4 linked regions of the Elephas maximus indicus genome follow. The protein of the gene in region 3 interacts with the protein of the main gene of each other region in a pairwise test. Links are inferred from orthologs where the notes say so. Each region holds a gene or a part of one and is shown on either strand. Other genes may lie near its edges. The genes, in order: cone-rod homeobox protein, TRAF3IP1, ABI2 and CCDC102B.

Region 1 (6,869 bases), on a different chromosome or scaffold from region 3:
CATTCATCCATTCAGTCACACATATATCCATCTATCCATCCATCAGTCATACATACATACATTTATCTACCCATACATACATAATATCCATACATCCATCCATCTGTGCATGCATTCAATCAGTTAATAAGCATGAATTAATAAACTATGAAAAAAAAAAAAAACCTATTGCCACTGAGTTGATTCCGACTCATAGCGACCCTACTGGACAAAGTAGAACTGTCCCATAGGGTTTCCAAGGCTGTAAATCTTTATGGGAGAAGATTGCCACACCTTTCTCCCACAGAGCAGCTGGTGGGTTCAAACTGCTAACCTTTCAGCACTGTGCCACCAGGAATCCTTTAATAAACTATAGACATTGTTAACCATCTTCTGCTCCTTTGTGGATACCTCAGTGGAACTGACATTCTAGTTGGGGGAGACAAATTATAAATAAACAGTAGGTAAGTAAATCATATTGTATTTTTGGAGGTGATAAATATTATGGAAGGAAACCACTGAGCAGGATAAGGGGGAGCAGAAGGACTGCAGTGGTAGAAGGTTGCAATTTTACGTGCAATAGTCAGTATAACCAAAAAAAACCTAACCCATTGGCGTTGAGTTGATCCCGACTCATAGCGACCCTATAGTCAGTATTGTATAGGTTTCATTAATAAAACAGCCCTTGAACAAAGACTTAAACAAAGTGATAGGGCAAGCCATGTGGTTATCTGAGGGATAAGCATTTCAGATAGCAGGAACAGAGAGTGCAAAGGTCCTAAGGCAGGCGAATGTTCAGAAGGCACATTAGAGGAAGATCCAGGGGTCAGTGTGGCTGGAGTAAAATGAGAAAGGGTGAGAGTGGCAAGAGAGATCAGTAAAATAATGGGAGGAGGCTTTAGGCCACTTCATAATGTTGGCTGTTACTCTATGACCCCTCCCTCCGCCCTCCCCTGGGTACCAGAAAGGTCCATGGAAGTCTTATATGGTCCAGGAGGAGCCCAGGGACCAGAACATCCCACCTGAACCCTGGACTCAGGCAGGTTGATCTTCAGAGCCACCTCCTCACGGGCATACACATCCGGATACTGGGTCTTGGCAAACAGGGCCTCTAACTCCTCCAGTTGGCTCCTGGTAAAGGTGGTCCGCTCCCGCCGTTGCTTCCTTGGGGCGCCTGAGGTGGGAACAGGAACATGAAGCGCTCAGGCAACCCAGCCTCCCACTCTCGTCCTCTATGGGTGCCAGGACAGCTGGGGTGAGGCTGTGAGGTCGGGTGGGGACTCAAGAAGCCTTTTCTGGGTGTCTATCTGTCCAGACTATGGATGCTCCCATTCCCTGTCCTTCTAGACCTCATTTTGTCCCCCAGAAAATGGGGTACACTTTTTTCATTTTGGGGTTCAGGCCTCATCCTGAGAGAAATTGGTGTTAGCCGTGTAAGGAGGCACGTGAGTTTTTCTTTCCCCTTCTGAAATTTATTATGCACTAAAACTTATGCAGAGAGCCCTGGTGGTGCAACAGTTAAGCACTCGGCTGCTAAACGAAGGAATGGTTGTGGTTCGAACCCACCCAGCAGCTCCGAGGGAGAAAGATGCGGCATTCTGCTTCCATAAAGATCACAGCCTTGGAAACCCTATGGGGCAGTTCTCCTCTGTCCTATAAGGTCGCTATGAGTCAGAATCAGCTGAACAGCACACAACAACAACATCTTAGTACTGCGCAGCTGAAATATGACATTGCTGATGTTCAACCAATTTTAGTTCATAAGAATGGCGATTCCGTGTAGTTCAACATAATACAAAAAGCAGGTATAAGAATAATGCCACAAATGACCGAGTGCTTACTGGGCTTAGAAATAAAGCACTGCTGCTGCTGCTGTTGTTAGGTGCCGTCGAGTCAGTTCTGACCCATAGCAACCCTGTGTACAACAGAACAAAACACTGCCCGGTCCTGCGCCATCCTCGCAATCGTTGCTATGTTTGAGCTCCTTGCTGCTTTGCTAACAGATATAAATTCTTCTTGATTCTCCATCCAGGCTGCTGTCCCCACCCCCACCCTAGAGGGAGCCGCCATCCGAAATTTCTGTGAATGTCCTTATGCTTTTCCACATCCCTAAGCAGTGAATTGTCAACAATCCATCTGTCAGTTTGTCTTACTGTGGTGGCTTGTGTGTTTCTATGATGCTGGAAGCTATGTCACCAGTATTTCAAATACCGGCAGAGTCACCTATGGTGGACAGGTTTCTATGGAGCTGCCAGACTAAGACAGGCTAGGAAGAAGGGCCTGGTGATCTCCTTCTGAATATTAACCAGTGAAAACTTCCTGGATCATAACAGAATATTGTCTGACTGGCTTGCTTTGGACACATCATCAGGAGGGATCAATCACTGGAGGAGGACATCATGTTTGGTGAAATCTACAGCCAATGAGGGTGAAGGAGCCCCTCAGTGAGAAGGACTGGGACAATAGTCACAACGGTGGACTCGAATATGCTGTCGATCGTGAGTATGATGTGGGACCGGGCAACATTTCATTCTGTTGTATGTAAGGTCATCATGAGTCTCAGTCAACTTGACAGCACTGGGGGATGCGAACAGTTAAGCGATCAACTGCTAGCTTAAAAGTTGGCAGTTCAAACCCACTCAGAGGTGCTTTGGAAGACAGACGTGATCTGCTTCCAAAAGGCCTTGAAAATCCTATGGAGCAGTTCTAGTCTGCACACCTGGGGTTGCCATCAGTAGCAATCAACTCAACAGCAACTAACGACTTCTAAGTGACACGTGGTATTGTTTTGCATTTGCAGACAGACACATACAGCTGGTGTATGGCCTTGATGTCACCCCTGCAGGTGCTCATCAAAGAGAGCAAGAGACCCCCAAGAACCCCCCCCAAGAGGTGGGGTCAGCCTGGGGTGGCCTGGATGACTGTACTCACTTGGGTAGGACACAGCCTGGTGCATCAAGTCCACACTGGGACCACCCAGGGCCAAGGTGTTGACGGAATAGTGGGGCCCCGGGTTCATATACGCCATCATGATCTTCCAGGATGCTGGGCTCCAGGTCAGGGGGCCTGCAAGAGAAGAACAGGGAAGCTCAAACGCTTGCCCATGACCTGAGTCTCTGCTTAGTTATATGACCTTGAGCAATCGATTTCGCCTCTCTGTGCCTTAATTTCCTCAACTGCAAAACAGCTCTGTGTTTCCGGCTATTGAAGCCTCACTGAGGTTTCAGCAGAGAGCTGAAGACATCATCCAAAAAAGACAAGCTGCTGGCGAGTTTCTTCTGCTTCATGGCAACCCCATGACATATGCGGTTGAAACACCACATTGCTCACGTTTAGCCTGTAGAAATACCAATTCCATATAGTTCAACGTAATACAAAAAGCAGTTAAAGGATAACGCCACAGATAACTGAGTGCTCACTTTGTAAACCAAGCCAAACCAAACCCGTTGCCCTCGAGTCGATTCTGACTCACAGTAACCCTACAGTCACTTTGCTTGGAAATAAAGTACTGCCGTTGTCCTGTGCAGAGCTGACTCCGCGGCAACGGGTTTGGTTTTATGCGTACGGTTTATAAAGTCACCTGGAACGCTGAAATAGCGGAAACAGAACCAGCCTTGTTCAACCTCAATTGCAAAGGTGCGCATCAAGCCACCCAGTTTCCTCTGCCCTGTGCATGCGCACGCGCACGTCCGCAAGTGACCTGAAAAGCAGCGTAACTATTGACTTTGGGGTTACAAAAAAATGTTAGCGAGGAGGCAGAGTCACAAACACGGAATCAGTGTGTACTTGGTTGTTGTTGAATGCCATGGAGTCGGTTGTGATTCATAGACCCCATGTGACAGTAGAACTGCCCCCTAGGCTGTTATTTTTAGGTGAGCTGTGGTGGCGCAGTGGTTAAGAGACCCACCGCTAACCAAAAGGTCAGTAGTTCGAATCCACCAGCCACTCCTTGGAAACCCTACGGGGCAGTTCTACCCTGTCCTATGGGGTCACTAGGAGTCGGAATAGAATCGAACTGACTCGACAGCAACGGGTTTGGTTTGGTTTTAACCTTTACAGGAGCAGATCACCAAGTCTTTCTCCCTCAGAGCCAGTGGGTGAGTTCAAACGGACAACCTTTCAATTAGCAACTGAGTGCTTAACCGCTGCGCCACCAGGGCTCCTTGTGTGTACATTACCCTTAAAAAAAAGCCTGATTCTGCCACTTCTTTCTCCAAGATCTTTTCTGCCTTATGACCACAGGAGAAGATATTCAGCCTCACTCATCACCAGGAGACGAGGGTGACCACTGGGACAAGGGGCTTCCTATGACGTGGGGATTTCAGCGCTAACACTGGAACAGCCCACAACAAACCGTGATGGCTGGTCACTGTAAGGGAAAGGCACATTAAAACGACAGCAAAGGGACCGTTTTTGACCTATGAGTTGGGCAAAGATCAAAATAGTTGCACTTGTGCACTGTGCACAAGCAGTTTGAGATGGGTGCCTAACCCAAAGGTTAGTGCTTCAACCCCCCACCCAGCGGCTCCATGGAAGAAAGGCCACTTCCATAAAGATTACAGCCTAGGAAACCCTAGGGAGCAGTTCTGCTCTGTAACATACAGGGTCACCATGAGTCAGGGGCTGACTCAACAGCAGCTAACGACAACAGCAGTATTGACTTTCCACTCCTTTATCGGGTGCGTGGCAGAGGAAATTGGAACATACTGGGAGCTTTTATTAAAGTAAAGCACCATCTTTCATTTGTTCTGGCAATTCGCCTCCAGGATGTTCCTCAGTGTCCTCACTGTGAAATGGGGATGAATCTAGCATTTCTAGGTTGTTGTGAGGATCCAATGTTTAAGGTGCATAAAATAGCACCCGATGCACAAAGCAAGTGCCCTACAACTGTTAGACGCCCTGGTGGCGAAACAGTTAAGTGCTCGACTCCTAATCAAACGGCTGATGGTTCAAACCCACCCAGAGGCTTCACGGGAGAAAAGACCTGGCCATCTGCTCCCATAAAGATTACAGCCTAGGAGACACTTCGGGGCAGTTCTTCTCTGTCACATGGGGTTGCCCTGAGTCAGAATCATCTAGATAGATGGCACCCAACAACAACATATAACTCTTGGCGATTATTTTTGTCATTGTTATTTGCAAAAAGAGGTTTGTAAATACTAGGATTTCTAATGAAACATATTTATAATTGACAAAATGTGGAGGCAACCTATATATCCACCCAAAAAGGAAATAGCTAAGTACATTATGGCACATCTATGCAAAGGGATGCTGTGAAGCCAATAAAAAGAATAAGGTTGTTCGGCATGAACTGATTTAAAAAGATCTCTAGTACATAGCTCTACCAACAGTTAAGCACGAAAGGTTAAGCGCTCAACTAGCTGAAAGGTTGGCGATTCAAACCCACCCAGAGGCACCTTGGAAAACAGGCCTGGCCATCTGCTTCTGAAAGGTCACAGCCTTGAAAACTCTATGAAGCACAGTTCTACTCTGACATGCATGACACTCACGACACAAGTTGACAACAACAGATCAGGAATGACTCTTTCCCACTCTAAGCCCCCTTTCTCCTCCACATCCTCCAGGTCTCAGCTGAGACATAATTTCCCAGGGAGCCATGCAATACTCTAAACTGGAGACCGCACACACACACACACACACACACACACACGCACACATTTTCTCTCCCCTGTCCTTCAGGACATGGCGTATGTTATATATAACATATTTCTCCCTGAGATAATCTTTAAACCTTAGACCAAAAATATCCCCTGAAGTCTTCTTAAAACCAAACAATAGCTTAGCTTAACTAGCAAAGAATGTCTGCCTTGAGCATTGTGTTCTTTTAAGAACCATCTACTATATGGGATCAAATTGACAACGGCAACTTGAAAGGTTAGATAGGAAGCTTAGGGGACAGTGAGTTTATGTTAATGGTGGGGAGGAACAATTCGAAAAAGGAGGATGAGAATGGTTGTGCAACTCAAAGAATGTGATCAATGTCACTGAACTGTACAAGTAGAAATTGTTGAGGTGGTGTATGGTCTGCTGTGTATATTCTCAAGAACAAATAAAATAAATTAAAAAAAAATAATGTATTTCTATGTTTGTTTACCTGTCCGTTTCATTCCACTCTGTCAGCTACCTGAGACCAGGGACTGGGCTTATCTCATTTCCTGCGGTATTCCCAACACTCCCAATAAAATAATAGAAAAATAAGTAAATGAATAAAAAATGGATGGCATCTATTTTAATACCTGTTCCCTCCATTCCTTCTCATCCCTGTTCTTTTCATCCTTCTCTTGACGGATATTTTTTATTTATCATCAATTGAGTTTCTCCTGTTCATCCAGTAAATGTTTTTTGAGTGTCTACCATGCCCTGGTGTAAGTAAACCCATTCATTATCACATCACCCCGATTCATTTTCCTCAGCATTCTTAATACTGTCTGATGTTTCCTTCTTCATTGTCAGTTCTCTGACTGAAACCTAGAAATACAATTCCACAAAAACAGAGATGCTGTGTCTTTGTTCTTGCTATATCCCCAGTTCCTAAAGCATGGTGGTGGTGGTATTAGTTGCCATCGGTCAATTCCAACTCATAGCGACCCTGTGTGTTACAGAGTGGAATTGAGCTCCATGGGGTTTTCTTGGCTGTAACCTTTATGGAAACAGATCACCAGGCCTTTCTTCCACAGAGCCACATTTCAGTTAGCAACCGAGCACTTAATCATTGCACCATCAGCATTCCTTATCTTCAAGATGGCTGCCAATAATCCTTGCCTCCTGGTATCCACGCCCTTGTGTGATATCCTCCCACGCTGATTAGGGCTGACCTGTGTAACCTACAGGATATTTCAGGAACGACAAGAGTGTGACTTCTGAGGCTA
Region 2 (7,148 bases), about 38 Mb from region 3:
AGGAGGTAGCAATTAGCATATATATTTTTACCCAAGTAGAGAAATCGTTTTCGATACTTAAAAAAAAAAAAAAAAAAACCCGTTGCCATCGAGTCAGTTCTGACTCATGGTGACAGAGTAGAACTGTGCTCCACAGGATTTTCTTGGCTGTAATCTCAATGGAAGCAGATCGCCAGGCCTTTCTTCCATGGTATTGCTAGGTGGGTTCAAACTGCTAACCTTTAGGTTAGCAGTGGAGTGCAAACACTCGTCCCCACCTCGTTGTTGTGGTTGTTAGGTGCCATCAAGACAGTTCCAACTCATAGCAACCTATGTACCACAGAACAAAACACTGCCTGGTCCTGTGCCATGATCACAATTGTTATGCTTGAGCCCACTGTTGCAGCCGCTGTGTCAAGCCATCTCATCGAGGGTCTTCCTCTTTTTCGCTGACCCTCTACTCTACCGAGCACGTAGAAGACAAAGCAGACCAGTCAGTCCTGATTCAGAACACCTTGCTTCTTCCACACAACGTGTCCACCTCGCCAACCAGTCAATTCTTCTCGGAATTCTTCTGCTCTCGTTTCCCATTAGGATGCTCCAGTCACACCAGAGAGGTTCAGGAACCCGCAGTGTACTGAGCACGTGGCAGCCCTGACAGGCCCTCTGCCGCCCTTCTTCGGGGCTACATTTTTGTTGGGGAGACAGACCAACACGGAGGATGAAAGGGTAGACCAGAGGCACCCGCAGTATTGTCCGTGCTGCCGGCTCACACCTGGCTCACCCCTACTTGCTGCCCCTCGGCTGAGGGCGACACAGGGCAACCGGGACACAGCATGCTCCCACCCAACTCTCAACGCAAAGTGCAGGACAGGCTGGGAGAGAAGCACCGGCTGAGCAGAGGAGGAGACCAATGCAGGCAGCACTTGGGGTTGGTTAGGATCTGAGAGAGGTTTTAGGCACTGTAGGGTTTTTAAATGAGGCACTCCTGGGAGGCACACGTGATCAGCAAAGGCGAGATGGCAATGCAAAGTCTGGGGAAGAGTAAGGTGACCAAGCAGTGGGAGTGAGGGAGAAGAAAAGCGAGAGGACCAACAGGCCCGGGGATAAGGGCTAAAAGCCCCCAAGTACAACCTGACTCCTGATTCCCAAGGAGCACACCCTCGTCCAATGTCTGCCCACAAGTCCACCCTGGAAACAGGCGCTGCCAGCCCCCACATACACCCTCCCCCAAGGGTTACTAGGAGCCTTGACCAATTCCATTCAACGAGCCAATGTTTGCTGCACAGCCTCTGTGTACTGTACCTTACTCGTGGCAGCTCACCCAGGATATGCCAACAGAGAAGTTCCAGTCTCCGTGGTTCAGGAACTGACAATCAAGAGGGGAAAACCACCCCCACCTGTCAGTTTGTTGTACTGCAGTGGCTTGTGCATTGCTATGATGCTGGAAGCTATGCCACCAGTGTTTTAAATACTAGCAGGGTCACCCACGGTGGACAGGTTTCAGCAGAACCTCCAGACTAAGACTAGGAAGAAAGGCCTGGCCACCTACGTCCGAAATTAGACAAAGAAAATCCTGTAGATCACAACAAAATATTGTCTGATACAATGCTGGAAGATGAGCCCCCTGAGCTGGAAGGCACTTAAAATACTCAACAGTGGACTTGGACATACATACCATTGGTCACGAAGATGGCACAGGACCAGGCAACATTCTATTGTGTTGTACACGAGGTTGCCACGAGTCGGAGCCAACTTCAAGGCAACTAACCATGATGACAACCACAGCACGAAAAGGTACACAGCCAGCCAGTATCTACTTAAAGCAGACTTATCACCAAGCAGTAAATTCCTCCACTAGTTTTTCCTTTCAGGCCTCCCTACGACCACCTCCAATAAATTCACCAGCAGGTATTTACTAAGCTTGCAAAATGTGGTGACTGCTTTGCCTTGCACTGTCGACGGGCACCTAGAAAAAGAACTCCATTTTCTCAAGGTTTACTGAGCACTTTCCACGTGCAAGGCCTTGCAGGACCCCAGGAGGAAGGCAGCAGGCCCCTCCCGAGCAGGGGAGGGGAATCACCGAGACAAGCGTGGAGGACCAGCCCTAACTAGACACCGGTAGGCAGGAAAGCAGAGTGCTCCCCAAGGGGCCGGGAGGATGGGTAAGAGGAGAGCAGGGGCGAGGGCAGCAACTCTCGCAGAAGGCTAACAACAGCTTAGGCCCAGTGGCCGCCCCCCGCTGCAGGCCAGGCCAAAGGCCGGTCTCCGCGGGCAGGAGCCCCGCAGAGCAACGCCAGGCGCCCGCTGCCACCCAGCCCCGGGCCGAGCCCCGACTCGCATCTCCAGCCCGCAACCTCGGCCCTGACTCCAACCCCAACCACTCGCCCTGACCTCGACCCCCAGCCCAGGCGCCGATCCCCGGCCGCAAACTGCACTCCGGTCCGCACCCGAGGCCCGACCCGACCCCTGGCCGCGCCCCGGCATCGACTCCGACCCGCACCCCCACCCCAGCCCCCCGGCTCCCAGTCCGCACCCGATCCCGGCCAGCACGCTGACCCCGGCCTGCACCCCGACCCCGGCCAGCACGCTGACCCCGGCCCGCATCCCCCACCCCGGTCCGCACCCCGACCCCGACCCGCACCCCCCACCCCAGCCCCCCGACCCCGGATCCGCACCCCGACCCCGGTCCGCACCCCGGCCCTGCCCCGCACCCCGCACCCCGACCCCTACCCGGATCCGCACCCCGACCCCGACCCGCACCCCCCACCCCAGCCCCCCGACCCCGGATCCGCACCCCGACCCCGGTCCGCACCCCGGCCCTGCCCCGCACCCCGCACCCCGACCCCTACCCGGATCCGCACCCCGACCCCGACCCCGACCCGGCGCCCACCTCCGTGATGATGTCGTGCAGGTAGCGGAACGGGGGCTTGCTCAGCAGCTTCTCCGTCAGCGGCGGCCTCCGGATCACCTTGCCCAGCGCGTCCTGCGTCCGCCTCACCACCGCCGCGTTCATGGCGGCGCCCGCGCGAGGCCCGCCCGGCCCGAGCCCCGCTCCCGGCCCCCGGCCCCGGCCCGCCGCCCCGGCCGCGCTCCCGGCCCAGGCCCCGCTCCCGGCCCCGCTCCCGGCCCGCCTCGCCGCGCCGCCCGGCTTCCGTCCCACAGTGCACGGCGGCCGCCACTGCGCGTGCGCGTCGCGCCCTCCGTCGCTAGGGCAGCGCGGCCTTAGCAACCGACGCGCCGCCGCCCCGCCCGCTGGACCCGCGCGGGGAAGCCGCCAGGGGGGCCTGTCCGGGAACAGCGTGTTCTCCGGGATCCGTGTTGTCTGTCTCACAAAAGGCACGGGCGCTCGTAGGCAGGTTCATGGGAGGGGCTGGACTGAAGTATCCCAAAAGACACGGAAGAAAAATGCCCTCGTCCATCTGTCACTTACTGTGGCTTTTCGGACAGGTAACTTGCTTTCTCTGAGACGCCATTTGTTTCCGTAAAACAGGGACGATAATGTGACTGTCTGCCTTACCTACCCCCCAGGATCGAAATCAAACCAGTTACCATCAAGCTGACTCCAACCCATGGGGACCCCGTGTGTGTGTCAGAGTAGAACTGTGCTCTCTAGGGCTTTCAATGGCCGACTCTTCAGAAGGAGATCGCCAGGCCTTTCTTCAGAGACACCACTGGGGGAACTCCAACCTCCAACCTTCCAGTTAGCAGCTGAGCGCTTAACGTTTGCACCACCCAGGGACTCCACCCAGGATGGTGCAAAGGGAATGACCTAGGCAGGGAGACCCCATGGAGGCCCTGCTGTGCACCGAGGGCACAGGCCTGACTGCCCACTTTGGCACTCATGGCTATCAGAGACCCGCAGCTGAGGCGTATCCAGGCATCAAGGTGTCTGAGAGACACTAGCAGCATCCAGGACAAAAGAGCAGAGCACCAGACCCCTCGGAGAGACTGACGGGGATTGACCAGGGAGTGGACCATCCTCTGGGAGCACAGATTCGCTCCAGGCCCTGCTGTCCACTGCGTCGTCCTACGTGAGTCCACTCCTCCACACAAGAGGGCACAGGCAAGGCTGAGAAGAGGCAGCCAAGGACCCCAGATGCAAGAAAGACACCCGGAACCAGTACTCAGTGGGGGCCAGAGGGAGGGGCTGGCTGGGAGGGCTGCCTAGCCTAAATTACCTCCCAAGCTCCTCAAAGAACCATGAAAGCACTGAGGAAAAAGGCTGAGAATATAAAAACAAGTTATTCATAAAAAAGAGAATCAGCTGGATGACTGTAGAAAAACACAGACAGAATGTGTTTGACAAATAAAAGCCTGGCAGGGGAGGCTTTGGAAATCAACAGTTTCTGACTGAATGCATGAAACAACCATGGCCATGACTCAGACAGGGAGAGAGAGCCCCACGAAGCCTTGTCTCCAGGCCTTGCCTCCCCAAGCCCACCCGACAGGGAGGCAAACATTCCCAGAGACAAAGGCCTGAGGAGACTGGCTTAGCCCAACCCTGAGCTCCTCATCTGCCCAGGGCCCAGGATATGGGTCAGCTTCAGGGAACGCTGGGCAGCAGGGACCAGGCACGGGGAAAGAGTGGCCACCTCGCCAGCCCTGGACCCGCAAGAGCAGCAGAGAGTTACTGCTAGGGTTGCCAGAGAAAATACGGGACAACTGGTTAAACTGAAAACCCAGACAAACATCAAATAATTTGTTAGTATAAGTATATCCTGTTTAGGATATACTTATACTAAAAATTTGGAGCCCTGGCGGCTCAGCTGCTAATTGAGGGCTTTAACCAAAAGGTCAGTGGTTCAAATCCACCGGTGGCTCCAGGAGAGAAAGCTGTGGCAGTCTGCTTCTATAAAAATTACCTGAAATTCTATTGGGCAGTTCTACTCTGACCTACAGGGTCGCTATAAGTTGGAATCTACTTGATAATAGGATTTATACTAAAAATTTATTCCTTCTTTATTTGAACTTCAAGCTTAACTGGGCATCTTGTGCTTTTGTTTGCTACATCTGGCCACCCCAGCTGTGGCAGCAAACAAACGCCTGTTCACTGGGGCCTGGAAGCCCCTCGGAGCCAATTTCTCCCACAGGTGGGAACCATCTCCTGTGCCTGCTGCATCCAGCTTTGGGGTACAAATCAGGTCGCCGCCCTTCGAGTGTCTGTGTGGCCATCCCTGAATCTCCCTTTCTGTCTGGCGTAGGCTGGAGGAAACACACACAGCAAACAATCACACTGGAAGTTATTATTCAAGCCTAGGGAGATGCCCTGCCCTTCCTCCCACCAGGCCCTTCCCTGGGGATTTCCATACTTCACACCTTGCAGAAAAGGGTTGGGGGTTTTGATCCCATCCTCTCCCCACAAAAGGCCTTTGAGCAATCTATGTCATTTTCCCAAAAATTTTTAAGCTGTGCTTGTAGCAGCTTCTCTTGCAGGGAGGGGTGTAAGTTCTGCCTCACGAAGCACCTTGCGGGGCATCCAGACTTTGACGACAGAGCCATTGTAAATGCTGCAAACAGGTAAGCGGAGCCGGGGGACCCGCTTGTTTGCCCACCAACGCAGGCCCAGCCCACTGCTAAGGTGGGGACCCAGTGAGCCCGCACCGGGAGGTGCAGAGGAACCCCAGATGTTTTCAGGGAGCCCCTAACCACACTCCTGTTGACCAGTCTCCACTCTGACCCCAGGCACACAGAGCAAATTTTATTGTTGTTGTTATTATAAAGGCCAGGGTATTTAAAGCCTGAGAAATGTTCTCGTAGCTTCAGCAACCAGCTCTCAGGAGGCTATAGCTTGGCTATAGCTGATACTGTCCCTGCCCACGCAGCCCCTAAGCCCCATTCTATGACTGGAAAATGTCTATTTTATGAGTCTTGAGGGGGTGAGACTGCTTCCCATTTTGGGAGCTGAGAATGGAAAGGATTATTGTCCCAGCCAGCCTTGCACCGGGGCATGTCATGTGACCTGGGTCCACCAATCACGCACACACCTGCACCAGACTTTGCCTCAGGTGCCAACAGTGCAAGAAGACAGGGGCCCCGAGCTCACTCTCACTGTCTGTCTAGCTGAGGGTGGGGCAGGTGCAGGTTTAGCTGCCGGCCCAAAAGTGACCATGGTCCAAGCTTACCTCCAATGCAATGTGTTCTAGGGCTCTGCTGCTAGCAGTGCTGTCTCAAACTGGGCCTTCCAGGCACCAGATTCAAGCAAGGATGAGGAGACTTTGTCTTACGTACTTTGAACGTGTTATCAGGAGGGACCAGTCCCTGGAGAAGGACATCATGCTTGGTAAAGTAGAGGGTCAGTGACAAAGAGAAGACCCTCAGGAGATGGATTGACACAGTAGCTGCAACAATGGGCTCAAGCATAACAACGATTGTGAGGGTGGCGCAGGATCGTGCGACGTTTCCTTCTGTTGTGCACAGGGTCGCTATGAGTCCAATGCGACTCAACAACACCTAATGACAGCAACAACAAATGTAGGGAAATATTTTGTTTTATACTCACATGAGAGAGAACAACCTTTCTGAACAGACACACGGACACATAGAGGACTTATAACTTCAGCCCTTCAGCTTCATCCATAGATCAAAAATAAACACAAAAACCCAGCAGTCCAGATCTCAAATAGCTGTCCTCCCACCCAGTGGGCATGAAATCTTCATTGATTTGACTCACAAATAGACAAGCAGGCAAACCAACAAGAGCAGCAATGTGGATTCTCTGCCGTTTGTCACCCACAGAAGATTGGTCTCCACCATCTACACAGCAAATAACACTAAATGGTCAGATCACAGGACCAAATCCCCATCATAGTGCCACCAATGATAAATGACTTATTGGCCAGGAGTGAAACAGAAATAAAAACAAAAAACACAAAAGCAGTAGGAAAAAAAAAGAGAATCAGTGAAGTTAAAGTTCTTTTGCTGCTTGGGTTCTCTCCAGGAACCAAGAGGTGCCCAGGTTTAAATGGCCCACGAGGTGCACTTCTCTGGCACCACAGGTTACTTGGCTAGGCAGGGGAGTACAGCTGGGCATCTCAGGGGAAACTCCAAAATGATCGAAGTGTAATTTTCCAAAAGGTAGAGTCAGGACTCTCCTGCAAATATAAAATGACCACTTGTGAAAGATTTTATTCAATTCATTGAATTCATGAGGAAACTAGTAAGATGTT
Region 3 (6,938 bases):
AAAGCCAGCCAAATGTGCTGCTGGATCAGCACAAATTCACCGCAACATGTTCTATTTATCAACTATACGACAAACAAACCAAGTAAGAGCTGTCATTGTGAGAGAGGGCGTCAATAATATAGCTACTGAATCCTAAAACAGATGGTAATCTAAGAAGTAAAAGTGTAAAGTCTACTTCAAATGCTAAACTGTAGAAATTAGGGATTTTAAAAACCCAAATCCATTTCTATCACATCAATATTTATACACTGGGTTTAAAAACACCACCACACTAATTTTTGAGTCCTATTGCTAAGACAGATAATGGTGGCAGTAATGGTCCTCTTTTTCAGCTACAAAAAATATATAAAAAGAAGACAATCACTGATGCCTGTACCCTTTTGGCTTTATTAATCCATTTACTTTTATCTTTATGTAGCAATCGTAAGAGATACAAATCTGTTTCTTTTATTACTTACTGGTGATAACCACACCCAATCACTTTTCCATCCTCAATTTCTCTTTTGACTACAACTCTTTCCCATAATACGGAGCACAAGGCAATGCAATTAACACTTCAATCCTTTAGGTTTTGCCTTTCCTACAGATTGTGAATTTCTGAGACTAGCATAGCTTCTGCCAGTTTTTCTTTCCACCTGCAGTCTATTACAGAGTATAAATCACCAAATCAAAATGCAGCCCTGCTGGTGCAGTGGTTAAAAGCTATGGCTGCTAACCAAAACGTCAAAGTTCAAATCCACCAGCCGCTCCTTGGAAACCCTACTGGGCAATTCTACTCTGTCCCATTGGTTCACAGAACTACCCCAGCCGTCACAGACCTATATGGTATTAATTTGCTCACACATCAGCCTCTCCTAAAAACTAGACTATAAAACTCTGTAGGCACTAAGTATAAGACCCCTCGGTAGCACAAGCTGTTTGTGCTCCACTACTAACCTAAACATTGGTAGTCTGAGCCCACCCAATGGTGTTTCAAAAAAACTCCTGGTGATATGCTTCAGTAAAGATGATCGCCAAGAAAACCCTATGCAGCAGTTCTACCCTGTAATACATGAGGTCGTCGTAAGTGTGAACCAACTAGATGGCAAAGGATCTTTTTTAGGCACTCCGTGGGCACAGTGCTGAGCACAAAGACATTCAAATACATTTAGTGAAAAAATGAGAAACTAAACTTTTGAATCTCTCTGACCTCACTCAGTATCAGTGAAGTACCCTGCCAATACAGACATTTGTATTTTTTGTATTAATCTTTGACCCAAGACACAGCCTTCCTTTTCCAATTAGACATATTTTCAACTGCCTCGTTGGAGGGAAAAAGCTTGTATTATGCCTGGTTCATTCTCCAACAGAAATATTCCCTACAACATAAAACAAAGTTCAGTATATGTCTAATCAAGTAAAATCTCACACTACCACCATTAACCATACCCTCCTTACAAAACTTATGAACTTATATATTTTAACACTTGGGTTTGTTTTTTAATTTACTCTAAGACTTAAGAATGCTTCCCAGTATAGCTGATGTTAAGAAAGATGCCTGGAGAGATGGAGGTGGAAGCAAGAAAAAAAGGTCAGAGTGAAGAAACAATTTAACAGTTTCCATTTCCACCTTTATCCCAAGAGAATTTAAACGGGAAGGAAAAAAAAAATGGACGCAGAACCTGTAATTCAGAATAAATCATCAAGGAAACAAAAGATGCTGAATTTGCAAACTGTGCGTTTTATCCTGCTAGTCTTTCAAATAATTTTTAAAGGACTTTTTTTTTTCCCAAATCCAGAATCTTCTGCTTTATCCTGGAGCAGCTGGATCTCATCTCACCCAATAGCCACTCTCCTCCACCCCCCCATACACATACATACATACACACACATGCCACACACGCACCGTTACCACTATGAGTCCCTGTGCCAAACCAACAATCACGGGAATACTAAACCATGAGGTTCATTTTCCTAATTCTCTCTAAAAAAACAATCACAATCCTTTTTCTCTCAGGAAAATTACCAATCTAACGGGACGGGGGGGCGGGGGGGAGAGCAGCTCATTATCACGCAGCTTCCCTTTCCCATAAGGAGAAAAATGGCAATAATTTCCAACAAGAAACAACTGCTCTTCTACCGTATCCCCGTTAGACCTAAAGGGGGAAAATGGTCTTCTGAGGCATTCACATGAATAGAAAACCGAAGTATTTTACTTTGCAGCAACACAGCCCCTTAAAAATCCTCCAGTGCTTGAGGGTTGGGGGTGACCTATCATTCCCCTCCACAGCCTCCCTACGTGGGGGAGCAGAATTTTGGCAAATAGAAAATGCCACTCTCCGCCTCCCCTGCCATCCCGAACACAGACCGGCACCGAGTGCGGGGGCGGATGAGGGCAGGAGAAGCGAGGAGGCGGGGACACGACACACGCACCGCGCCGAGGACTGATTCACGGTTTTTAAAAATGTTTTAAAAGCCACAATCTCCTCCTGCCGAGGATTCCCACCCACTCTCCATCCCCTGTCCCAGTCTTCACCCTGCACCCCCCCGTCAGGGGCTCAGCCCGGCCAGCTCTCCCGCGGCGGCCTCCGCCCGCTCCCGACGACCCCGGGAACGCGGCCCCCTCCCAGGGGGTCCTCCGCACGCCCCTCACCGCCGAGGCCCGACGGCCCCGCCCGGGGGATGCGTCGCACCTGGATGTAGTTGTTCTCGCAGTAATCGGCCACCCGTTCCAGATTCGTGTAACTGTCGAAGAGGGCCCGGCGGCCCCCCGGGATTTCCTCCTCCAGCAGCATCTGCAGCTCCGCCATCTTCACATCCTCCTCTCACCTCATACAGACCGCAGAAGTGGCCGCGGCGGCAGCGCCAGGGAAACCCAAGGCTGGCAGCGGAGGAGCACAGGCGGCAGCGGCAACCCGCCGGAGCGAGAAACACCCCCCGCGCGCGACAGGGGAGGGGGCGGCGTGGACGGGGGCGGGGCGCGAGCCGACGGACCGCGAGAACGGTCACCGCGGCGACGGCCGGCCGGGCACGCGCACGCGCGCTCCCCTCCCTCCGCCCCCGGGAGCCCGAAAAAGATTCCCACCCTCGGCCGCACCGCCTGCCCCTCCCCCACTTCCGGCGTCTCCTAGCGACGGCGGGGTGGGGGCCGGGATACGCGCGGGAGCCGGGCGCGCGGTTAACCCTTCGGCCCCCCGCTAGTTCCGCTGCCGGGGAAGTCCGCTCGGACGCCTTTGTTAGCCGGTCAAGTAGGCGCTATCCTGCTCCGCTGTCATCCCGCCGGCGTCTTCCACGACTTTCGGCGTTATTCTCACCCTGGGGGCCGGATCCCTGTGCAGATCGAGGCTTTTCTCTGCTGCTGATTGAAGGGCGAGGAGTCCATCCTCCGCGAAAGATCACATCTTCTCAGGGCTGGGATCAAACTCACAAAACTTCCGTGCAGCTTTAAGTGCCGCCTCAGTTTTCATTTTTCTCTTCATCTTAAAGCTCATCCGTTTTGGTACGGATAAGTAAATTCCAGCTTCTTCATCCCAGATCTCCTGTACTCTCGGTTTTACTGCACTTACTTGACCACCAGAGCTGTCTTCCTTTGCCCGTCCCCTGGGGCTCAGCTTTTTTTTTTTTTTTTTTGCCCTAAGTAAAAGTTTACAATTCAAGTCAGTTTCTCCTACAAAAACTTATACGCACATTGCTGTGTGACCCTAGTTGCTCTCCCTACTGTGTGACAGCACACGGAGCTCAGCTTTTTGTGCTTGCCCTCTTCCATGGTTCTCTTCCTCACTGACAGCCTGTTCTGTCATCTCCCTGGTTCTGTGAACGTCGCTGTCTTTTTCTTCCAGAATTCAGTACTTCAAATTCTGAAAACGGTTTTGCTGGTACTAATTTTCTTCCTTACAGGGCTGTTACATGGATAAAATAAAAGTTTATGTGAAAGCACCTTGAAAAGCGAAGTGCTACAAAAATTGTAGATAATTTTGATTTTGCAGAGTTGTTACATCACTCTGTTCTTCTTCTCCAGGTATTCAACTTATATATATCTTTTTTTCCCTAAATCTAAGTAGCCTTCAGAATGTCATTCTTCAATAACTAAAACTCCTGACAACTGCTGAGATATTAAGTCTGTGACTTTTATTTGTACTGGGGAAAGTCAAGGTTGACTCCAGGTGTACCATTTTAGGCATTTGTAGTTTAGAACAGGATCCATTATTTCAGCTCTTGTTCTTGCTCTTTTGATCTCTTGGCCCTCCTACAGTCATTTTTCTTTCTCGTTGAACTGTAAGAAGCCCACAAAATCGAGACCAAACCCAGTGCCGTGGAGTGGATTCTGACTCATAGTGACCCTATAGGGCAGAGTAGAACTGCCCCATAGAGTTTCCAAGGAGCACCTGGCGGATTTGAACTGACGATCCTGGGGTTACCAGCTGTAGCACTTAACCACTACGCCACCAGGGTTTCCAAGAAGCCTACAAGGTGGGTTAAATTATAGGCAGACTTTTCCCTTACTACACTTATTCCCACCTAGCATCCTTTCAAATAAAAAAAAAAATTTTTTTAACTGATTATCAATTAGCCCAACAAACAGATTTCCCTGAGGGATGATTCATCACCCTGGGAATCACTGGGAGAGCAAGGCAGCCCACTCTAAGATTCTAACTCAGCAGCCCTACAAGGAGAGAGTAGAACTGCCCCATAGGGCTTCCAAGGAGCAGCTGGTGTATACTTCTTCTAATTTGTGACTTCTTTGAACCTTAGTTTTCTTAGCTGAAAAAAACAAACTCAGGTCAGTAGTTACCAAATTTGAGCATGCATAAGAATCACCTAGAAAGCTTGTTAAAACACAGATTGATGGGCTCCACCCCCAGAATTTCTGATCATTTGGCCTGGCCCAGTAATTTATATTTTTAACAAGTCCACTGGAAGTTCCTGCGTGGTGCAAATGGTTAAAGTACTCAGCTACTCAGTGAGAGGTTGGAGGTTCATATCCACCCAGAAAGGCCAACGATCTACTTCAAAAAAATCAGCCATTGAAAACCTCATGGGGCACAGTTCTTTGACATACGTGCAGTCACCATGAGTTAGAATTAGCTTGACAGCAGCTAGTATAAGTTCCCAGGTGATGCCAATGAACCCAGGAGATGCCAATGAAACTGCCCTTCTCCATCTGAAGGTCTATGATTCTAGTTGCTGGCAGCGGGGAATTTCCACCAAGAATGGAAATCAAATCTCCCACATAATCAGTTAGCAGCAGAGCTCATTAACCATTTGCACCATCCAGGAACTCATCTTTTCTCATTTAACTGGTTAAGTAACTATTTTTTGCTAACCACAAAGCTACTATTTAAAAACAAGCACTGCTAGGTTCAGGCTCAAAACAGGCCAAACAAAAATCAAATTATAGTATAACCATTATACACGGAATGACTTCCTCTGATCTTGGAAAACTCAGAATGTTCGTTTATTCATTCATCAAGTAAATTTAGCATGGATGCATTATGGAGAAAGGACCAGGAAAGTATTGCTAAAGGCAGACTCTAGGGGCAATCCTGGTAAGAAATGATGGTGATCTTCAGGGAGGGTGATGAAAGAAGTGGGTGGAATAAGAGAAATATTTGAGGTAAAATCATAAGGGGTTAGTGAATGATTCCATGTGGAAGCTAAAGGATAAATCCATGCTGGTAGACAGGTGTCTGGCTTGGGCAACTGAGTAGTTGGTAGTTCCATTTACATTTAAATTACATGATATTCCACAAAACTGTAAAAACTTTTTCCAGTTTACCTTCATTCTCTGTTTCAATCATTATCATCAATAACCCTGGCAAAAAGGACACTATTTTAGGTTCTGTGTTGCTATTGTACTACTCTTGCTAAGTTATTTAATTAATAAACAAAATCCATAAATTGTATATCGTTTTGGCCCTCTCAAGTACTAAAGACTAACAGTTGTAGAGAAAGAGAAAAAAAGCAGGTAACTTGCTTAATTCCTACTATGTGCCAGGATTAATTCAACATTTTACATAAATTAACTCTTAAATATTAAAAAGTAGGTTTTATTATCCCCATATTTTACAGTCCCAAAAAATGAGGATTAAAGGAGCCCTGGTGGTGCAGTGGTTAAGCACACGGCTGCTAACAGAAAGGTCAGCAGTTCAAACACACCAGCCGCTCCTTGGAAAAAAGATGGGGCAATCTGCTTCCGTAAAATTACAGCTTTGGAAATTCTTTGGGGCAGTTCTACACTGTCCTATAGGGTTGCTATGGGGCTGAATTGACTGAGGGCACAAAACAACAAAAGAAGTTAGAAATTTACCAAACCTGCTTAAAAGTCATGGAGTTAGCGGTTCCACACTGGTTTGATAATTTAAAACGTTTTTCTTTTGCATTGTAACATGACAAATCAAACTTCTCTTTATTTTAACTGTAAAGATCAAAGGCATACTTAGATACTTGAAGCCATTCATTATTTTTTTTCTTTTCTTTTTAGGGCTTAACAGAACCCATTTCTTCAATTGCTCCTCATCGTATATTATAGAATTATGGCATGTTCAAGTTGGAGGGTACCTTAGAAAAATCTAGGTCCTACCCCAACATTTTACCAATGAGGAAATATGAAACTCAGAAAAGTTAAGTGATTGCCTAAGGCTACATGGCTAGTAAATGGGAGAGTGGAACAAAGGAAGTTTTAGAAACAAATCTTATTTTAGAGCTCTTTCATGACATTTTAAAGTAATACACTCACAAACACAATGAAATTTAACACAATTCCTTTTTATGTAATTAAGTTCTCTGTTAGATATTACACAGTACTCAGGGGAAATGCAGAGTTTTCATTCAAACAATTGCATGATTAATTGAGTTCCCATTCTTACCCCAAATAAGAAAAATCATAATCAGTGATATTTTCATATTATTTGTACACATTTCTAGGTCCACGGGTGGTCCAAATCGTTTGCCCTTGGCTA
Region 4 (7,622 bases), on a different chromosome or scaffold from region 3:
ATACAGCAGAGCTCCTTTGTTGGGTTAGCCAGAGTAGTAATCCATACTGCATGAATCTGCCCATCATGCTGAGTTTCCTTTACCACACTCAGTAAGGGGCAGGTCTTTCTCAGGTTAACTGGCAGCTGCACCCCATTTCACCCCAGTACAAATTAATCTAGCAGAGCCATCAGTGAACCAGGCCCATGTGTGGTCTGGAAGGTCTCTATATCTGGGTCCCTAATGGGCCAGTGGAGGCAGCAGATCCTTGGTCAATACGCCTGGGACGGGTAGGGGCACTCCTGAGACTGGAAAGGATTCCTGAACTGCCACAATGCAGTAATCCAAGGCCTCTGCTCAGACTGACTTGATTGGGATTTCTGGTTGTATGACTACTTCATGATCATGGCTCATGTTCTCAGCATCCACTAAGAGGCCAATAATTGTTTGTTAAAAGGTGTATATCTTTCAGTCAACTCCAGGAACTCAGAGGTCCAAAAGCCCAATGGGCACTGCTGGCCTGTGGCAATGATTTTCTGCCACAGGTTCCAATCTGAGAAGCTGCTGAAACCTATAAGTCAAACAGCAAAAGTGGATGGGTGCGACCCAAAGGAAGGGGATCCAGGTGGGTGTGTTGGAGAGAACTCCTGGTGCCCTGTTGGTCAGGCCCCACTTAAAGGTAACAGCCCAGTAGGTGGATGCCAGTAGCTGAATAGGTCCAGAAATCGCTGTGCCTCTTTTTTATTTTTTAGGGCAGAGAGAGCCAAAAGTGTGACAATCTTCTCTGGAACGAGTCGTTGTGACTCCATTATGCCCAGGAATTTCACCTGCATACTAGAGGCCCTTGTCCCTTGCCTGTGTTAATGGCCCAGCTGTGTTACTGCATGTGTGTCATCAGGACCTCCAGCCCTTATCGGGTGATGACTGTCTGGGTCCACCAGGAAGATGTCATCAAGGCTAGTACTCCCACTGGGAGTGAGACTTTTTCCAATCATGGACTACCCATTGCTGGCAGACAGCTGGGAAATTCAGGTAGTTTTGTGGAAGAACCCTTTAATGCGGATTGCAACCCATTCTGCAATGAAGACAAATCAAGCCTGTTCATACCCATGGAGAGGTTATGCTAAAAAGGCAATTGTGATGTCAACTGCTGAATACCAAGTTCTCTCAGCTTGGGTGACAGCCTCTGTGACAATCACAATATCAGGTATCACTGGTGCCAAGGGTGGGACTACAGCACTGAGTGCCTATAATCAATGGAAAGAGTCCAGGCACCCAAGGCCTTTTGCACAAGCCAGACAGGCTAGGCTTCCTTAAGCTCAGCAATGAGGAAGGTTCTATCTTTTTCTCCTCCAGGTGGCTGATACTATTTTTAGGAGACAACTGCACTGGACATTGGTTTTGTTGTTGTTAGTTGCCATTGAGTTGATTCTGATTCATGGTGACCCCATGTGTGCAGAGTAGAACCATTCCATATAGTTTCCAAAGCTGTGACCTTTCAGAAACACACTGCCAAGTCTGTCTTCTAAGGCGCCTCTGTGGGGGCTAGTAATTGAGCTAGCAGTAAAGCTAGTAGTCGAGCAGTTAACCATGTGTACCGCCCAGGTGCCAGGGGGACTACAGTCTTCCACATGCCCCACTAAGATGGCCCTACTACAATAATTCCCATCAGGGCTTAAGAGTGAAGGTGAGTAGTTCTGCGCCCTGACAATACATCAATACCAGTAATATATTCAGCAGAGTGGCCAATAAACGCAGGTATGCAAGAACCTGAAGGTTACTTGGGCTTAGGCCAGGGTATCAGTGGCAGTGGCCTCAAAACCTGATGGTATGATCTGTTTCCCTCTCATGCTGGTGCCAGGAGTTGCAGTGATCACACTCACCTGTGTACCAGTATCCAAAAGGCCCAAGAACTGCAATTTTCTCTCAGAACTATGATCTTGGCATAAGACCTCTGGTGCCCCTTGAGGACAAAGGAACCTCCAGCTAACCCCTAGTCTTGTGTATTTTTTAAAGATGAGAGGCCCGGTGTCTTAGTTTATCTAGTGCTTCTGTAACAGAAATACCACAAGTGAATGGTATTAACAGAAATTTATTCCCTCACAGTTTAGGAGGCTAGAAGTCTCAAATCAGGGTGCTGGCTCTAGGAAAAGGCTTTCTCTCTCTGTCCACTGTGGGAGAAGGTCCTCATCAATTTTCCCCTGGGTTTAGGAGTTTCTCAGTGCTGGGACCCCAGGTCCAAAGGATGTGCTCCACTCCCAGTACTTCTTTCTTGGTGGTAGGAGTTCCCTCCTCTCTGTTTCCTTCTCTCTCCATTTATCTCTTGTAAGGTAAAGCTGTGACTCAAGCAAGGGTGGTACATCCCACCTTGATCCTCATTAATATAACCTAATCATGCCTCATTAACATAGTAGACAACTCTACTCCAAAATGGGACCATAACCATAAGCATAAAACCCGTAACCCACTGCCGTCAAGTCGATTCCGACTCATAGCAACCCTACAGGTCAGAGTAGAACTGCCCTATAGAGTTTCCAAGGAGCGCCTGGTGGATTCGAACTGCTGACCTTTTGATTAGCAGCCACAGCACTTAACCACCATGCTACCAGGGTTTCCCCACAGGCTAAGATTTACAACACATAATTACATCAGATCACAAAATGAAGGATAACCACATGATACCGGGAACCACGGTCTGGCCAAGCTGACAAGAATTTTTGGGAGGACACAATTCAATTCATGACACCCAAGTAAAGTTGGCAGGGGTCTCCAACTCCACTGGGGACAACACTTGTATTAGCCACAAGGGACTATCAGTGGGCAGATACTAATGAAGCTGCCTGTCAGACCTCCATATCAAAGTACTTGGCCAGTAGTTCCTTGGCAGAAAGCCTATCAATCTCCTCCTTTGAGACCCCTATTTTCAAGTAACTAGACTGAGTCTTTTCAGGAAGGCCCTTGGCCGGGCTGCCCAGGAAAAGGCACCTGGTTACCACTCTTCTGTTGGTCGATCTTTGCTATCTTGGCAGTAGCCATTTTTTCCACGTCTGGGAATGTCAGTTAAGATTCAGATTGTATCATGGACCAAATGACCTGACCTCATGAGGAGGTTTAACTGGGCCAGGTAACCAGAGAGAGTAGTACGGAAAAACCTAGAAATCTGGGTCAGGTTAACAGTCTCATGACCCAATTATTCCCAATCCCTCATTATAGACCCAACGGACCACCAGGGTGGTTCACAGGGACACTATAGTCTGAGAGGGTGGCCCAGACATGTTTTTCAGTGGCAGGAAACTCTTCATAGGTGGGACAGACCTATCAGAGCCCAAACAGTACCCAGCTGCAGAAGGAGAGTCTCGATGTTCATGCCCTCTCACTAGCCACCTCCTCCTTAGGCAAACTAAGGCTTCCTGTCAGTGCATCTGCAAAGAGGTCTGTAATGACATGCCCTACAAGGCACCACTCCCTCACTAAGTTTAACAAGATCAACTTCTTCATTATGGAAGCCAACTAACCGAGGCTCTAAGGTCTCTTCAGGCTGCTGGGCAAAGGGATCCTGACAGGCCCTACATTCTTTTTTACTGAAGGCCTGAGATTCAATAACTTGCTGTGTTGAAGAAGGTCTGTTGGCACCAGGACGTGCTGGGAGCTAACAGCAACCACTGGACGCAATTTTGCACGCAGAGCACCCGAGTAAGTATGCAGCGCAGATGGGGAATCCTCTTGCTGCCGAGGAGCCACAAGCAAAAGGCTTCTCCTCTTCATGAACTGGGCGGGCGGGGTGGGGGGGGGGGCCTGAGGGTGGAAGGTCAAAGTGAAGGGAAGTAACAAGTAACAAATGGAGGTGCCTGGGCTAAGAATGCAGATATGCATATGAGTATGGCTGGCAATTATGGGGGGAGGGGTCCTGAGAGCCTGACTACAACTCCCTCCAGACACCACAGGGCACCAGCTGTGCAACTCGTCTGGTGTGGGCAGCGCAGCTTCTCCCATGAGGCCTGCCAGTAACTGCTTATGGTCAGGCCTGAAAGAGTACATACAGGATTTTGGCTTGGAGCTAGGCTCCCCAGCTACTATAAGCAAGGTCTTGGGACTAATGCTGTGGGGGTAAAAGATATAGTATGTCCCAAATTCCGGCACTCACTCAGGTGCTATAGAATGGTAATATAGAATATTGAAAGGTCTGCCACGTTTTTGACCTTGTAAATATCAGTAAAACTCTTTTGAGCATAACCCTATCTCATATATAAACAGCACTTAGAACTCCTGGGATAAAATCGGTAATATATGAGCATAGTGTCTATTATTTTTATTAAGATTAGAATTAGATTATTAAGATGTGAACATGTAAATATTCAGGTTAACAACAGAATTAGAAATTAAAATACTATTGAAACAAAATACGTATACTCACGAGTCATCTAAATCTGGCACCACACTCTTACCAAAAGCCATGTCAAGAAAAATAACTGAAAAACAGAAAGAAGAGACTAAATGTATACTTCTGATTTATCATTTCGTTCACACTTGACGCTTAGTCATCTATAAAACGTTTTTTTTTTTTTTTTTGATGTTCTGACCAGAAACTCTATCACTGATTCATCCCGGGGTACAAGTGAAGGAAAACCACAAGGAGTTCATTTGTTTGATAGATATTTATTCTGCAACGTAATTTCCCTGTGACAGGTAAGTCCTACGTATGATAGTAAATTCAAAATATAAAAGCTCTTTTTCAACATATCTTTCCTCTGATCCTATTTTTCCATTTTAGCATTCCACCTGTTCGGAGCAGAGACAGAAATTGTTCTATACTTCTCCCCTTTCCTTAGTACTTCTAACTTCAAGTGCCATCCAAAATATTATTATTTTTTTAATATTTAGATAGAAACAGAATTGAGCTACCACTCTAGTACTTATGACAGAGCAGTGCCTGGCACATAGTGGAAAGGCAACAAATGGTTGCTGAGTAAGTGAACGCAGGGAGGCCGGCAGGAAGAGGCCCAAAAGGGTCACCACACCGCTGTCGCCGTCACTGCACAATTCCAGCGGTCTGATAGTGATCTGTCCTTGACCATCCTTCCCTTTGCCCATGGATGGTGAAAACCCTCCAAATACGACAACACTTGGCCCCTAAAAAGCCAAAGCAAAATGTGGCCACACGTTGGGAAAGTGTCACCTGCTCGCCTGTCTGAGAAGCCAGGGCGACGGTACCCCTGCCACAAAAGACGAAGACGAGGACAGGGAATCTCCTGGGGGACAGCGCATCTTTTGGGGCCTGGCACCGGGTATGCACTGCAATGCCGAGTGGGTGGAGGACCCTAAGGTGTCAGGACGCCGCAGGACTGCGCGGGGTCCGAAGGGGGAGGCCGGGAGCCCGCAGACGTCCCCGCGGACCCCGCAGGTAACCCCCAGTCCAGAGGCCACCCCCGGCGCAGGGGTGATCCCCGGCTCTCCTGTCTCGCGCGCGGCCATACCTGTGGCGCAGAGGCGCAAGGCGGTCGCACTGCTCAGAGCTGCCATGCTCGCCGCAGTAGCGACTCCGCAGTGGCCGGGACAGACGCAGGCGCCGGCCGCCGCTCTCCGGAAGGGGAAGCGGGCCCCTTCGAACGCGGAATGAAGCCGGGCACGGAAGGCGGGGGCGGGGCAACCCGGCCTCTGTTCTCTCCCGGACCCCGCCGGCCCTGCCTCTGAGCATGCGCGGACCGCGGGGGCGGGGCGGGCGAGCCTCTGCTCCCTAGTGGACCCGGCCAGCCTCTCCTCTGGGCTTGCGCGGGGGGCGGGGCGGGGCTGGCGGGCCTCCGTTCTCGCCCCCTCTGGGCTTGGTTTAGCGGGCTGCAATCGCGAGATGACGTGCACGCGCAGTCGCCTTATCGCGGAGCGTCTGTGCCCTTGGCCGCGTCTGGGGGCTATGGGAACCTGGTGGCGCGGGCTTCTTGCGGTTTGGGCGAAGAGGTGTGTGTGTGTGTGAAGGGGAGACGAAAAACTGAAATACAAATTCTTAAATTAATACTAAGCTTTGTACTGAGGATGAGGTAGGCTTCGAAAACGCAGTTTGAGGTTGAATCTCGCCTGCTCATTTACCTGCTACACCTGTTCAGTGAGCCCACCAGTGCGTTGGTTGGTGGATCACACTCGTGAAGAGAGGCACGCCTTAGTGTGGGGAGAAAAACGGGCCCTGGATCACCGGGTTCTGTGACACTGCCTACATTTCCAAAACGTGTTTGGAAGCTGTTTGAACCTGTTTCCAAAATTGGGCATTTTTTAAGTTCTTTTAATAAATTTTTGCTAACTAAAGGAGTCCGTTTTTTAAAATTTGTTTCTCTTGAAAACTGAAAAAAATGGCCTGTATCATTTGTAATGATTTTTTTCCTCTATATTTTCTTTTTTTTAATAATATTTTATTATGGTTTAGGTGAAAGTTTACACAGCAAATTAGGTTCCCATGTAACAATTTTTATACAAGTTGTTTGGTGACAGTGGTTATAATTTTCATAATATGTCGGCATTCTCATTATTTCCATTCTGTTTGTTTTGTTTCCATTGATCCAGCTTCCCTTCCCCTCCTTGCCTTGTCATCTTTGCTTTTGGGTAAATGTCGACCATTTAGTCTCGTATAGTTGATTGCTCGAGGAAGCACATTATACATGCATAATATTGTTTTTTTTATTAAGCCAATCTATTATTTGGCTGAAAGGTGACCTTCAGAAATAGCTTCAGTTCCAAGTTCAAAGGGTATCTTAGGCCAGCAGTCCCAGGGATTCCTCTAATCCCTTTTGGTCCAGTAAGTATGGCCTTTTTTTAGGAATTTGAATTTTGTTCTGAATTGTTTTCTGATTCTGTCTCAGACCTCTTATGTCCCTGGTCAGAATGGTCGGTAGTAGTAGGCGGAGACCACCTAGTTCTTCTGGTCTCTGATTAAAAGAGGCTGTGGTTCCTGTGGGCTGTTAGTCCTATGGACTAGTTTCTTCTTTGAGCCTTTGGTTTCCTTCATTCTCTTTTGCTCCATTCAAGTTGAGACCGATAGTTGTATTTTAGATGGCTGCTCACAAGCGTTTAAGAGCCCAGGCACTATTCACCAAACTAGGATGTAGAACATTATTTTTATGAACTATGTTATGCCAATTGACTGATTTGTCCCACTAGACTATGGTCCTAAGTCTTTTAACCAGGGCTTCTTACAAGTTCCCAGGCCATGCTAATGCTCCTGGTTAGGGACCAATTATGAGAATCACTAGCAGAGCAGTGGTTCTCAAGATTTATTATATGAGTATTACCTGGGGTTCTTGTTAAAATGTAGATTCTGATTCAGTATACCTGGGGTGGAAATGTAAATTCTCAGTAGGGTTCAAACTGGAATGAACCAGTTTGAAGCCTTGCTTTTAACCCAGTAAACCAATCCCACAAGTTGTTTGGATATGCTCAGGAAGCTTCCATAACTGTGTCCCTTATGTGCTTCATTATATAAAAAAAAAAAAAAATCCAGCACGCACAAATGCCTACAGATACTCCTATACATGCAGGTACGTTTACTCACATATGCCTTTCTATACACATATTTGCATACGTATCTGCCTATGTAACCACACACAGTTTTTTTGATGTTATTGTTGTTGTGAACTTGTATATATTAGAGCATTTACTGA

Evidence for each region.
Region 1: the proteins of ABI2 (region 3) and cone-rod homeobox protein interact in binary tests that used the Homo sapiens proteins (3 or more experiments, as listed by UniProt). The link is inferred for Elephas maximus indicus from reciprocal best matches to the Homo sapiens genes ABI2 and CRX.
Region 2: the proteins of ABI2 (region 3) and TRAF3IP1 interact in a two-hybrid assay, tested with the Homo sapiens proteins (2 studies listed by BioGRID and IntAct). The link is inferred for Elephas maximus indicus from reciprocal best matches to the Homo sapiens genes ABI2 and TRAF3IP1.
Region 4: the proteins of ABI2 (region 3) and CCDC102B interact in binary tests that used the Homo sapiens proteins (3 or more experiments, as listed by UniProt). The link is inferred for Elephas maximus indicus from reciprocal best matches to the Homo sapiens genes ABI2 and CCDC102B.

The regions. Positions count from the first base shown.
Region 1 is NC_064829.1:101,073,868-101,080,736, forward strand, and holds the start of cone-rod homeobox protein, read right to left. Parts: upstream 3,011-6,869; coding exon 2,911-3,010; intron 1,154-2,910; coding exon 1,002-1,153; intron 1-1,001. UniProt on the Homo sapiens protein: Transcription factor that binds and transactivates the sequence 5'-TAATC[CA]-3' which is found upstream of several photoreceptor-specific genes, including the opsin genes.
Region 2 is NC_064824.1:140,403,280-140,410,427, reverse strand, and holds the start of TRAF3IP1 (TRAF3-interacting protein 1), read right to left. Parts: upstream 3,023-7,148; 5' UTR 2,996-3,022; coding exon 2,873-2,995; intron 1-2,872.
Region 3 is NC_064824.1:101,916,010-101,922,947, reverse strand, and holds the start of ABI2 (abl interactor 2), read right to left. Parts: upstream 3,025-6,938; 5' UTR 2,790-3,024; coding exon 2,673-2,789; intron 1-2,672. UniProt on the Homo sapiens protein: Regulator of actin cytoskeleton dynamics underlying cell motility and adhesion. Functions as a component of the WAVE complex, which activates actin nucleating machinery Arp2/3 to drive lamellipodia formation.
Region 4 is NC_064829.1:76,615,131-76,622,752, forward strand, and holds the start of CCDC102B (coiled-coil domain-containing protein 102B), read left to right. Parts: upstream 1-4,609; 5' UTR 4,610-4,665; intron 4,666-5,453; coding exon of another isoform or gene 5,454-5,499; exon of another isoform or gene 5,500-5,930; intron 5,931-7,622. Other genes in the region: protein disulfide-isomerase TMX3, read right to left, coding at 4,394-4,448, 5,454-5,499. UniProt on the Homo sapiens protein: During interphase, forms fibers at the proximal ends of centrioles to maintain centrosome cohesion. During mitosis, dissociates from the centrosome following phosphorylation to allow centrosome separation. Contributes to CROCC/rootletin filament formation.